Xenopus tropicalis: one gene and its partner. The protein of the gene in region 2 interacts with the protein of the main gene of each other region in a biochemical or structural test. Links are inferred from orthologs where the notes say so. Each region holds a gene or a part of one and is shown on either strand. Other genes may lie near its edges.

What was found.
Region 1: the proteins of pbx1 (region 2) and pknox1 form a complex in vitro, tested with the Homo sapiens proteins (2 studies listed by BioGRID). The link is inferred for Xenopus tropicalis from reciprocal best matches to the Homo sapiens genes PBX1 and PKNOX1.

The regions. Positions count from the first base shown.
Region 1 is NC_030678.2:312,176-316,797, reverse strand, and holds part of pknox1 (homeobox protein PKNOX1), read left to right. Parts: intron 1-1,120; 5' UTR 1,121-1,220; intron 1,221-1,765; exon of another isoform or gene 1,766-1,782; 5' UTR 1,783-1,845; coding exon 1,846-1,896; intron 1,897-2,927; coding exon 2,928-3,043; intron 3,044-3,132; coding exon 3,133-3,304; intron 3,305-4,474; coding exon 4,475-4,622. UniProt on the Homo sapiens protein: Activates transcription in the presence of PBX1A and HOXA1.
Region 2 is NC_030680.2:108,211,735-108,216,839, forward strand, and holds the start of pbx1 (pre-B-cell leukemia transcription factor 1), read right to left. Parts: upstream 3,649-5,105; 5' UTR 3,386-3,648; coding exon 3,195-3,385; intron 1-3,194. UniProt on the Homo sapiens protein: Transcription factor which binds the DNA sequence 5'-TGATTGAT-3' as part of a heterodimer with HOX proteins such as HOXA1, HOXA5, HOXB7 and HOXB8. Binds to the DNA sequence 5'-TGATTGAC-3' in complex with a nuclear factor which is not a class I HOX protein.

The DNA of each region.
Region 1 (4,622 bases), on a different chromosome or scaffold from region 2:
CTGAGTAGGGATAGGCCTAAGGTAACCGGGCCTGCTGAGTAGGTATAGGCATAAGGTAACCGGACCCGCTGAGTAGGGATAGGCCTAAGGTAACCGGACCTGCTGAGTAGGGATAGGCCTAAGGTAACCGGGCCTGCTGAGTAGGGATAGGCCTAAGGTAACCGGACCCGCTGAGTAGGGATAGGCCTAAGGTAACCGGACCTGCTGAGTAGGGATAGGCCTAAGGTAACCAAACCCGCTGAGTAGGGATAGGCCTAAGGTAACCGGACCTGCTGAGTAGGGATCAACTATTATTTTAGGACACACAGTGGGTCCTTTGACCATGAGAAACCCAGTCATAGAATGTTCTTTACTTTCCTTTTGGGAGAAACTCGGGTTCAGCCTGAGGGGTCTCAGGGATGGGACAGAGAGTTCTCCCCCCCCCAATGTACAATAGAGGGTGGAGTTTAAAGAACATGTAAACCCCCCACACACAAATATTTTAACAGTGAAAAGCCTCCTTGAAATCTTTCAATACCTGCCCCACTGGGTGCCCAGAGGTTAATAGAAAGGCTGCAACATCCCCTTAATCACTTAGATTTCCTTCTCTTCCTGTAACCCACTCGCCCCCCCCTCAGGAATTTGCTATGACTTCTGGCTTGTGGGCATGCTCAGTTGTTCTAAGCTCAGATTACTAAACACCCCCCCCAGCCTAGCAGCCAATGATGAGATGGCATTTGCTGGTTACCATAGAAACTCAGTTCTAGTTGTCTGCTTCAATTTTTTTCTCCTAACCTCCTCTCCTGAGCTCAGCTCAAACAAAGCAGAACTTTTATCAGAGACAGTTGTGCCTGTGTAAGCCTGCATTGTTGATGAAATGTACGCTGAATAAGAGTCTGTGTGTGTGTAGGCTGTTTGCAGATTTAAATGTATTTGATTATGTATCAGAGGGAAAATGGCCGCCGGGTGAAAGCTGCTATTTGCTTTAGGAACATGTGATGGTGCTGCAAGGGGAGGGGATATATGCAGTACTAATGGTGCCGTTTGGGTGGGGGAGACGTGCCCAACTGATATACACTGTAGGCAAATGTAGGCTTTACATGGCCTTTAATGTCAGTTCTGCCTATATTTACCTGTACAGGTTACAGGGCCCCATTCTGCAGAGGAACACAGCCATGCAGGAGCAGTGGGGATAGAGAAGCTGAGAGGTTCAAGGCGAGTGTGACGGCACAAGCACAAACGTGAGTCTCCTGGGAAAGGGGGGAGCCCATAGAGTTGGGGTGCTACTGGTTTTACCTTGATTGGTTACTTCTTGCCCTATGGCTGTTCCCTCTAGCTCAAATGCTGTGATTGGCTATTTCCTGCAGCCATTTGTATTTCCTACTGACTGGCTACATGTTTGTTTCATTACTGTGGAAGTTGTGAAGCTCTAATTGGCTCGCTCTGTGTGGGCGTCACCATTTCCCTATAAAGGCCAAGCTAAAGCTCTCTTTTTTTTTTTTATTTGTGTTTTTGTAATTATTTCACTTTTTGTTCAGCAAGTCTGGCATTTCAGCAATTACCTCTGACTCCTCCGTTCCCTTCTGGTTATTGCCCCACTCACATTCAGCATTAGTGCAGGGAACCAACTTCAAAACATTTTATTTTGTCATTTTTATGAATTCCCTCTCCTGTGAGCCGCGAGGTATCTCGTTACAATAGGTGCATGCTTCACTCGCCGTGTGATGGGTTTCTTGGTGTTAATTGCCCCCATTGTAAATTGTGAACATGAATAACAGCCCTATAGATTCTTTCCCCACACAGATACTGGCTCAGGAGCCCAGGCCCACAGTCACCGTGATGTGAAAGGCCAAGGCGCAGGGCATCATGATGTCTGCTGAGAGACTGGACATGGACAATTACTCAGAGGAACAGCAGGTATTTCCTCCCTAATTCCTGTGCATGAATGGATGGGGTGTGGGTGCCTGTATATAAATGGGTGGGGGCATGGCTGCCTGTGTATAAAAGGTTTTGGTATGGCTGCCTGTGTATAAATGGGTGGGCCATGGCTGCCTGTGTATAAATGGGTGGGCCATGGCTGCCTGTATATAAATGGGTGGGGGCATGGCTGCCTGTGTATAAATGGGTGGGGGCATGGCTGCCTGTGTATAAATGGGTGGGCCATGGCTGCCTGTATATAAATGGGTGGGGGCATGGCTGCCTGTGTATAAATGGGTGGGGGCATGGCTGCCTGTGTATAAATGGGTGGGCCATGGCTGCCTGTATATAAATGGGTGGGGGCATGGCTGCCTGTGTATAAATGGGTGGGGGCATGGCTGCCTGTGTATAAATGGGTGGGCCATGGCTGCCTGTATATAAATGGGTGGGGGCATGGCTGCCTGTGTATAAATGGGTGGGGGCATGGCTGCCTGTGTATAAATGGGTGGGCCATGGCTGCCTGTGTATAAATGGGTGGGCCATGGCTGCCTGTGCATGAATGGATGGGGTGTGGGTGCCTGTATATAAATGGGTGGGGGCATGGCTGCCTGTGCATGAATGGATGGGGTGTGGCTGCCTGTGTATAAATGGGTGGGCCATGGCTGCCTGTGTATAAATGGGTGGGCCATGGCTGCCTGTGTATAAATGGGTGGGCCATGCCTGCCTATGTATAAATGGGTGGGCCATGGCTGCCTGTGTATAAATGGGTGGGCCACGGCTGCCTGTGTATAAATGGGTGGGCCATGGCTGCCTGTGTATAAATGGGTGGGCCATGGCTGCCTGTGTATAAATGGGTGGGCCATGGCTGCCTGTGTATAAATGGGTGGGCCATGGCTGCCTGTGTATAAATGGGTGGGCCACGACTGGCTGTGGAAGTGAGTGCCTGTGTAAGAATAGGTGGGGGTGTTGGTGCCTGTGGGTGGTTATAGGAAGAATATGTGTAACCCTGTCCCTCACTGCATGTCTTTTAGTTACAAGTCATCACTCAGTTTAAGACTGAGGAAGACCCTGTGTGTGTCAATCCGTCTGACCCATCCCCTGCGTCTGGGGAGAATCCTATGGAGGCGGATAAACAGTCCATATACAGGTGGGTGGTCCTTACGCACCCTCCCGTCATGTGTTTAGCGACTCTGGCTACTGGCTGTGTGTCTCACTGACCCCATTCTCTCCCCCCAGGCACCCACTCTTCCCCCTTCTTGCTCTGCTCTTTGAGAAATGTGAAGGCTGCACACAGGGGGCCGAAGGCACAACCTCCGCCAGCTTTGACTTGGATATTGAGACATTCGTCAGGCGCCATCACAAGGAGGGCAAGGATTTCTTCTCCGATGACCCAGAGACTGACAGCCTGGTGTGTCTCTGTGTGTTACTGGGTGTCTCTGTGTTACTGGGTGTCTCTGTGTTACTGGGTGTCTCTGTGTTACGGTGTGTCTCTGTGTTACTGGGTGTCTCTGTGTTACTGGGTGTCTCTGTGTTACTGGGTGTCTCTGTGTTACGGTGTGTCTCTGTGTTACTGGGTGTCTCTGTGTTACTGGGTGTCTCTGTGTTACTGGGTGTCTCTGTGTTATTGGGTGTCTCTGTGTTACTGGGTGTCTCTGTGTTATTGGGTGTCTCTGTGTTACTGGGTGTCTCTGTGTTACTGGGTGTCTCTGTGTTACTGGGTGTCTCTGTGTTACTGGGTGTCTCTGTGTTACTGGGTGTCTCTGTGTTACTGGGTGTCTCTGTGTTACGGTGTGTCTCTGTGTTACGGTGTGTCTCTGTGTTACTGGGTGTCTCTGTGTTACTGGGTGTCTCTTTGTGTCTGGGTGTCTCTATATTACTGGGTGTCTCTGTTTGTGTCTGTGTGTCTTTGTGTGTGTCTGGGTGTCTCTGTGTTACTGGGTGTCTCTGTGTTACGGTGTGTCTCTGTGTTACTGGGTGTCTCTGTGTTACTGGGTGTCTCTGTGTTACTGGGTGTCTCTGTGTTACTGGGTGTCTGTGTTACTGTGTGTCTCTGTGTGTGTCTGGGTGTCTCTGTGTTACTGGGTGTCTCTGTGTTACTGGGTGTCTCTGTTACTGGGTGTCTCTGTGTTACTGGGTGTCTCTGTGTTACTGGGTGTCTCTGTGTGTGTCTGGGTGTCTCTGTGTGTGTCTGGGTGTCTCTGTGTGTGTCTGGGTGTCTCTGTGTGTGTCTGGGTGTCTCTGTGTGTGTCTGGGTGTCTCTGTGTTACTGGGTGTCTCTGTGTGTGTCTGGGTGTCTCTGTGTTACTGGGTCTCTGTGTGTGTCTGTGTTACTGTGTGCACCCCCAGCCTATAGCAATGCAGTTACAGCTGCTGGTACCAAGTGCATATACAGACGCTGGCAGTGGCACAGTACCGAGGGTCTCCCCCAGGGGGCTCCCTGCTTACTGAGCCTCGCCATCAGGCCACACTGTGGGTTGGGAATGATCGTACGACCGTCTGGTTGCGGTTGAGATACAGATAATACACAGTTCCTGGGGCAGAGATGGGCAGACCTATAACCCACCTCCCTGCCCCACAGATGGTGAAAGCGATCCAGGTGCTGCGGATCCACCTGTTGGAGCTGGAGAAGGTGAATGAGCTCTGTAAGGATTTCTGTAGTCGCTACATCTCCTGCCTGAAGACTAAAATGAACAGCGAGACGCTGCTGAGCGGCGAGGCTGCCGGTC
Region 2 (5,105 bases):
TAAAATGGGTCCTGTGTATTTATAGTAACAATGAACTCAAAATGGTCAGTTCAAGTGCAAACTTCAAGAAGTCATCTATCACTGTATGATAGATGGAGCAACAGAAAACAACTTCCTTCTTTATCATACATAGTAAATATATTTAACATGTTTTAACCCCTTTGTTATTATCTATCTTTCCACTAAAATGTTTCTATTTTATGCTCAGCTGGTAAAAATATCCCTGTTCTATATATGGCAATGCTAAAGGTCACTATATTGAATATATTAAATATTCCCTTATGTAGATTAAGAGCATTAACAGACTGCAAATTTCTTCTTGGCTCCCCTGCAATACTGTGTCCTTTATATTAATCTCACATATATTGCTCTGTTATGTTTATTTTTCTCTTAAATAAAATTTAAGCTACAAAAAAAAAAACAGTAATTATATTGCTACTGACTTGCAAGTGTTCTTTAGACTTAGATTTAGTACATTGTATGTATACTTCTAGTTACATCAAATACTGTTTCAATTACATCAGGGCGCTGTTAATACTTTAAGAGTGTCCATAATGCAATTCTAGCGGAATACAGGAAGATTGTAAACTATGGCTTGCATACATTTGTCACTTTATGTATAGACGTCTTTTACTGGGACATGACCTTCCAGCTGTTGCAGAACTACATCTCCCAGAATCCACATGCTGTTGTGGGTAAGTGGGAGGTGTAGTGCCTGAAGTTTACATTATATGTGTACTTCTGCCTGTCCTGCAGCAAGTACAGTATACAAAGGAATTATAATTGTATTAATGTGGGGCTTGGGTTCCAACAGGCAAACCAGATTTTATTACTACTATATTTTGCCTGTCAGATAAGGAAAACGAATTGCTTGAAAAAAATAAAATATATAAAAACATAAATTAGAAAAACATGTAAATACAAAAAAACTCTCAGAATATAGACAAATATGGATTTATTTTATATTTAAACAGCAAGATGAATACAATAAAACTAAAATACCTAGAGCTAAAATTGCCACAGTGGAAGATAGGCATCTAAACGACACACTGGGGCCTGACCAGCCTTTGTCAGTCCACAGTGCATACTATAGATAATAAGCAAAGATCGCTGTTTGGCTACAATGGACTGAAGCAGAGTGATCCACACTTACGTTTATTCATAGTAGCTTTGCAAATCTCTATACGCTGACAAAGGAACGGCTGGGCATGACATGTCCAATTAACAGATTCTGAAAGGTCTGCTCTCTTGCTTTGTATAAGTCAAGCAAAAATACACTTCTTACTACTAAGTACATTTTGTTACATACTTCAACCTTTTGTAATTTCAATGTTGCGAGAGAATTTCAATTGTATATTTTAGTCTGCAAGTTTTCAGCACATATATATTTTTTTTTTTTTACACATATTAAATATGTATATATTTATAAATGGTATATGTGCCTTGAAATTATATACATGCAATGTGCACATGTACAGGGGAAATATTTCTCTGCGACAGCAACACATTTTAGATAAATGCCATCCAAAATCCCTTTAATCCAATTGAAGGAGTGCTGTAATTTCAAATTTAGTTCCGCCAACTGCACGTTTCTCTTGAAAAGCCTGCTTTTTTTCTATTTACCCGATTGGGGTTAACATGTTGAATTTATACCATAGGAGAAAGGTGTTGTGGGATTCCTCCTTCTTTAAATATTTAGAAATGCTGAACAAAGGCAAAAGTAGAAGGAAACCAAAAGAAACATTCATAAATTCTCAATGCACAACAGAGAATTCACTGCAAACCCTCTACATTGATTCTCATTACTAAGGAAATATTGTTTAGCTATATAAGAAAGTGTCAAACAATTAACTTACAAAGCTTATTTAATGCTGTCATTCAACCCTATTAGATGGAGAGTGTAGTCCATGCAATAAGTAATGTATTTAAATCTCTGATTTACAAAACAAAGGTAATTATATTGCTTGGATTTCCCATGTACTAAAAATCTTCCTTGGCAGAAAAATCCATGTTTACTCCCATTCACAGAACCTCTGTTCTTATTTAATTAACCAACATCATAAAAAGTTTATATAATGAAGCTATGCTTTTAATGATTATGTGTAGAGATGTATATTAAAATATGTTATATACAAAAACTCTGCCCGTCCCCATAAAATCAGTGTGTTTTGTAAATGAGTGTGCCCTGGACATGAGTTCTGTACATGAGGTTATTATCCCACCTATGACATATAAAAGTCCCTCTCTGTATTATAGAATGCAGTATATAGTTATATGGCGTGAATCACAATGAACAACTGTAAACAGATCTTTAGAATGCAGGAACTGCCAGTACAACGTATTTTGAGGCCCAGAGGATAACTCAACATCTCTAGTGCTTCCCTGACAGATGGAGAACTTCTTCCTGCCCGTTTCTTTTTCCTCTAAGGAATGAATATACCATACATATAGGACAGGGATGTTCAACCTGCAGCCCCCCTGCTGCTCCCAGAATCCTTTTGACAGCTGATGTGAAAGTTATAACAGAGCAACAACTGGAGGGTCACAAGCTAAACATCAAAGATCTAGATAGAAACTGTTGATAAATAGATTTTTTTTTGCATAATTTGGTGTTTTTCAAACCCCACTGGGTCAGTACCAGTTTAAAAATGTTGCCGTAAAAATGGAAAAGTGAAAGACAATGCAACCCTCCTGCTTAGGGGTAACAGTTTAGCGCACACATGTACATGGTATATACTGTACACACTTACTGTCGTGCAAATGGATTGCACACAGTAAACCTTATTACTTATACAGCACTAAGAATAAAAAGTATATAAACCAAAGCACCATGTACAGAGGTAGATTGTCAGCTCTATGGTGCACGTTGTCTGATACACGTTCACATATAACACAAGGTTGATAAACAGTAGCAGTTACTTTGCTAATGGGGGAAAAGTGGTTTGCTGGTCCAACCTCATACACACATCCATTCTAAAAATCAGGCAAGTCCACCCTGAGGCCCTGGAGCAATTAACTACAGCTCCCATCATCCCTTGACAGCCGGATGCTGTGAGTTGTTGCTCAGTTAGAAGTGGAGGGCCTCAGGCTGGACATGACAAGTATAAGCTCACAAATAGTATCCTGATGCCCACAGGGTCCCAGCCTAAAGCTGCTAAAAGAGAGAAAGAAGCACTTTGCAAGATCCAGCTCACCTGGCCTGTGCCTCATCCAGACTCTGGTCAGTGATGGTCATGATCTGCTGTAATATATCCCCAATGTCCTGCTTCCTGCCCCCCTCCCCTTCGTTGGCTCCTGTGCCATCCTGCATGTGTTGGGACAGACTGGGGTGTCCCGCCATCCCCACCCCGGGGTGGCTGTGCATCAACCTGGGCTGATCATCCATTTCCAGGAGCAAGCCCCGCTCTGCAGCACCCTGTGCCTGTGTTGTGCAGCGCACAGGGAACTCTTATTGTTCTTCTCTCTCCTGCCTTTGTTGTGGCTCCCTCCTGTTAATCCCAGGGCGCCAGGAATCCGTCCTAGTCAAGAAGAAAAGGTACAGTATCCAGGCACGGCGGTTCCGCGGGAGGGTGGGGTCTGTACCGGGCCAGGGAAGTTCTACACAGCTCGGTGTCCTGCTTTTGTTTGGGCTCAGACTCTGCTTTCCTCCCTCCCCTCCTGTGTCTATCCCTCTCTTCTCCAGAGCTGGCACACAGCGCGGAATGGAGACTTAGCCCCCCCTTCCGTCACGCCGATTGGCGTACTGGGAGGTAATGTACCGCCCCCCTTGGCTTTGGATTGGTAGTTTGGCAGGTCACTCCCCTCCCCCTTAGCTTTTCTCTTGTCAATCAACAAGGTTCAGAGGTGGGGAATGTGGAAGAGAGAAAAGAAGAGCAGAAAGAAAAGAGAAGGCAGTGGCCCCGGGGTCTTAAAGCGCTAGCGCAGGCTGGGAGAGGTGTATGGGTATCTTAGAAGGAGTAATTCCTCTGGACAAAGCCAGGCTTTAGTGGGTCTGCCCGGGTGGATTTCAGTGCTTTTGCCCCCTACTTGCTTTCGTTTTACCTTAACCCTTGTGCTTCATGAATGCCTGCCAACGCAATAAAATGCAGAGGGCCCCATTCATTGAGGGGCCCTACGTAATAGTTGAGTCGGTGTTACAGACTCTAAATCGGCCTGTTTGCTATTGTACAACTTAGTATTGCCGAGAACCCGAGCGCGATTGATTGGGAATAAAACGGTCTGGTGTTCACTTGGGTCTTCGCTTGTTTTGGTGTAAGTGAAAGCTCTTCGGTCCCCACACTGTGGGAGTGTCCCCCCAGCGGGCCCAGACTAAAGTACAAGTTAAAAATAAAGGCAACATATAAGTAGAAATATAAGTACATTTAGAACTGTTTATAAAAAGACACAACCATAGTTATATTTGAACTAAACATAGATATGAGTGAGTCTTGTTTGACTAAGCAAGAAAATCATGTATAAAAATCATCAGTGTCTTATGTTTAAACTATTGGTGTCTGACTTAATAACTGGTAGGTAATGTCCCTTTAACCAGTAACCGGGGTAGAACAATAGAAAAGATTCTAGAATATAACAATAGAACAGATTCAGTAGCTGATTTGGGCTCAGGGGTATAGAGTGCTGCACCTTATTATCATCCTGAAAGTTCATAAGCTAGAAGGGCCCAGTAATTTGTTTATTCACAATAATTCCCTTAGTAGATGTGCCCTGAAATGTTAGGTCCTTATGCAGTGATAAAATCTTGCACAGCATAGTTACTTATATTTCAGTTGAGTGAATGTGCAGTGTTAGCAAGAGAGTGTCAGGTTGGCCACAACTGTCATTGCCATGTTGAAGAAACCAGACATAGCAACAGGTAAGTGGTTACTGTGTGACACTGCTCTAGGTCAGGGGAAGTTGATAGGTTATCACTGGCTAGAAAGTGTTATTTAGGGTATTAAAAGCACATAAATTCTTAGATAAATATACAAAGATATGCCAAAAGAATGTTAACAAGTATAACTGAAGTCCCAGAATTCATTGTAGTTGCAAAAGAAGGGTGCACTGGTTGGACAGAATAACAATTGTAGAATTATTATATACATACAGACACAGGGATATACTATCAG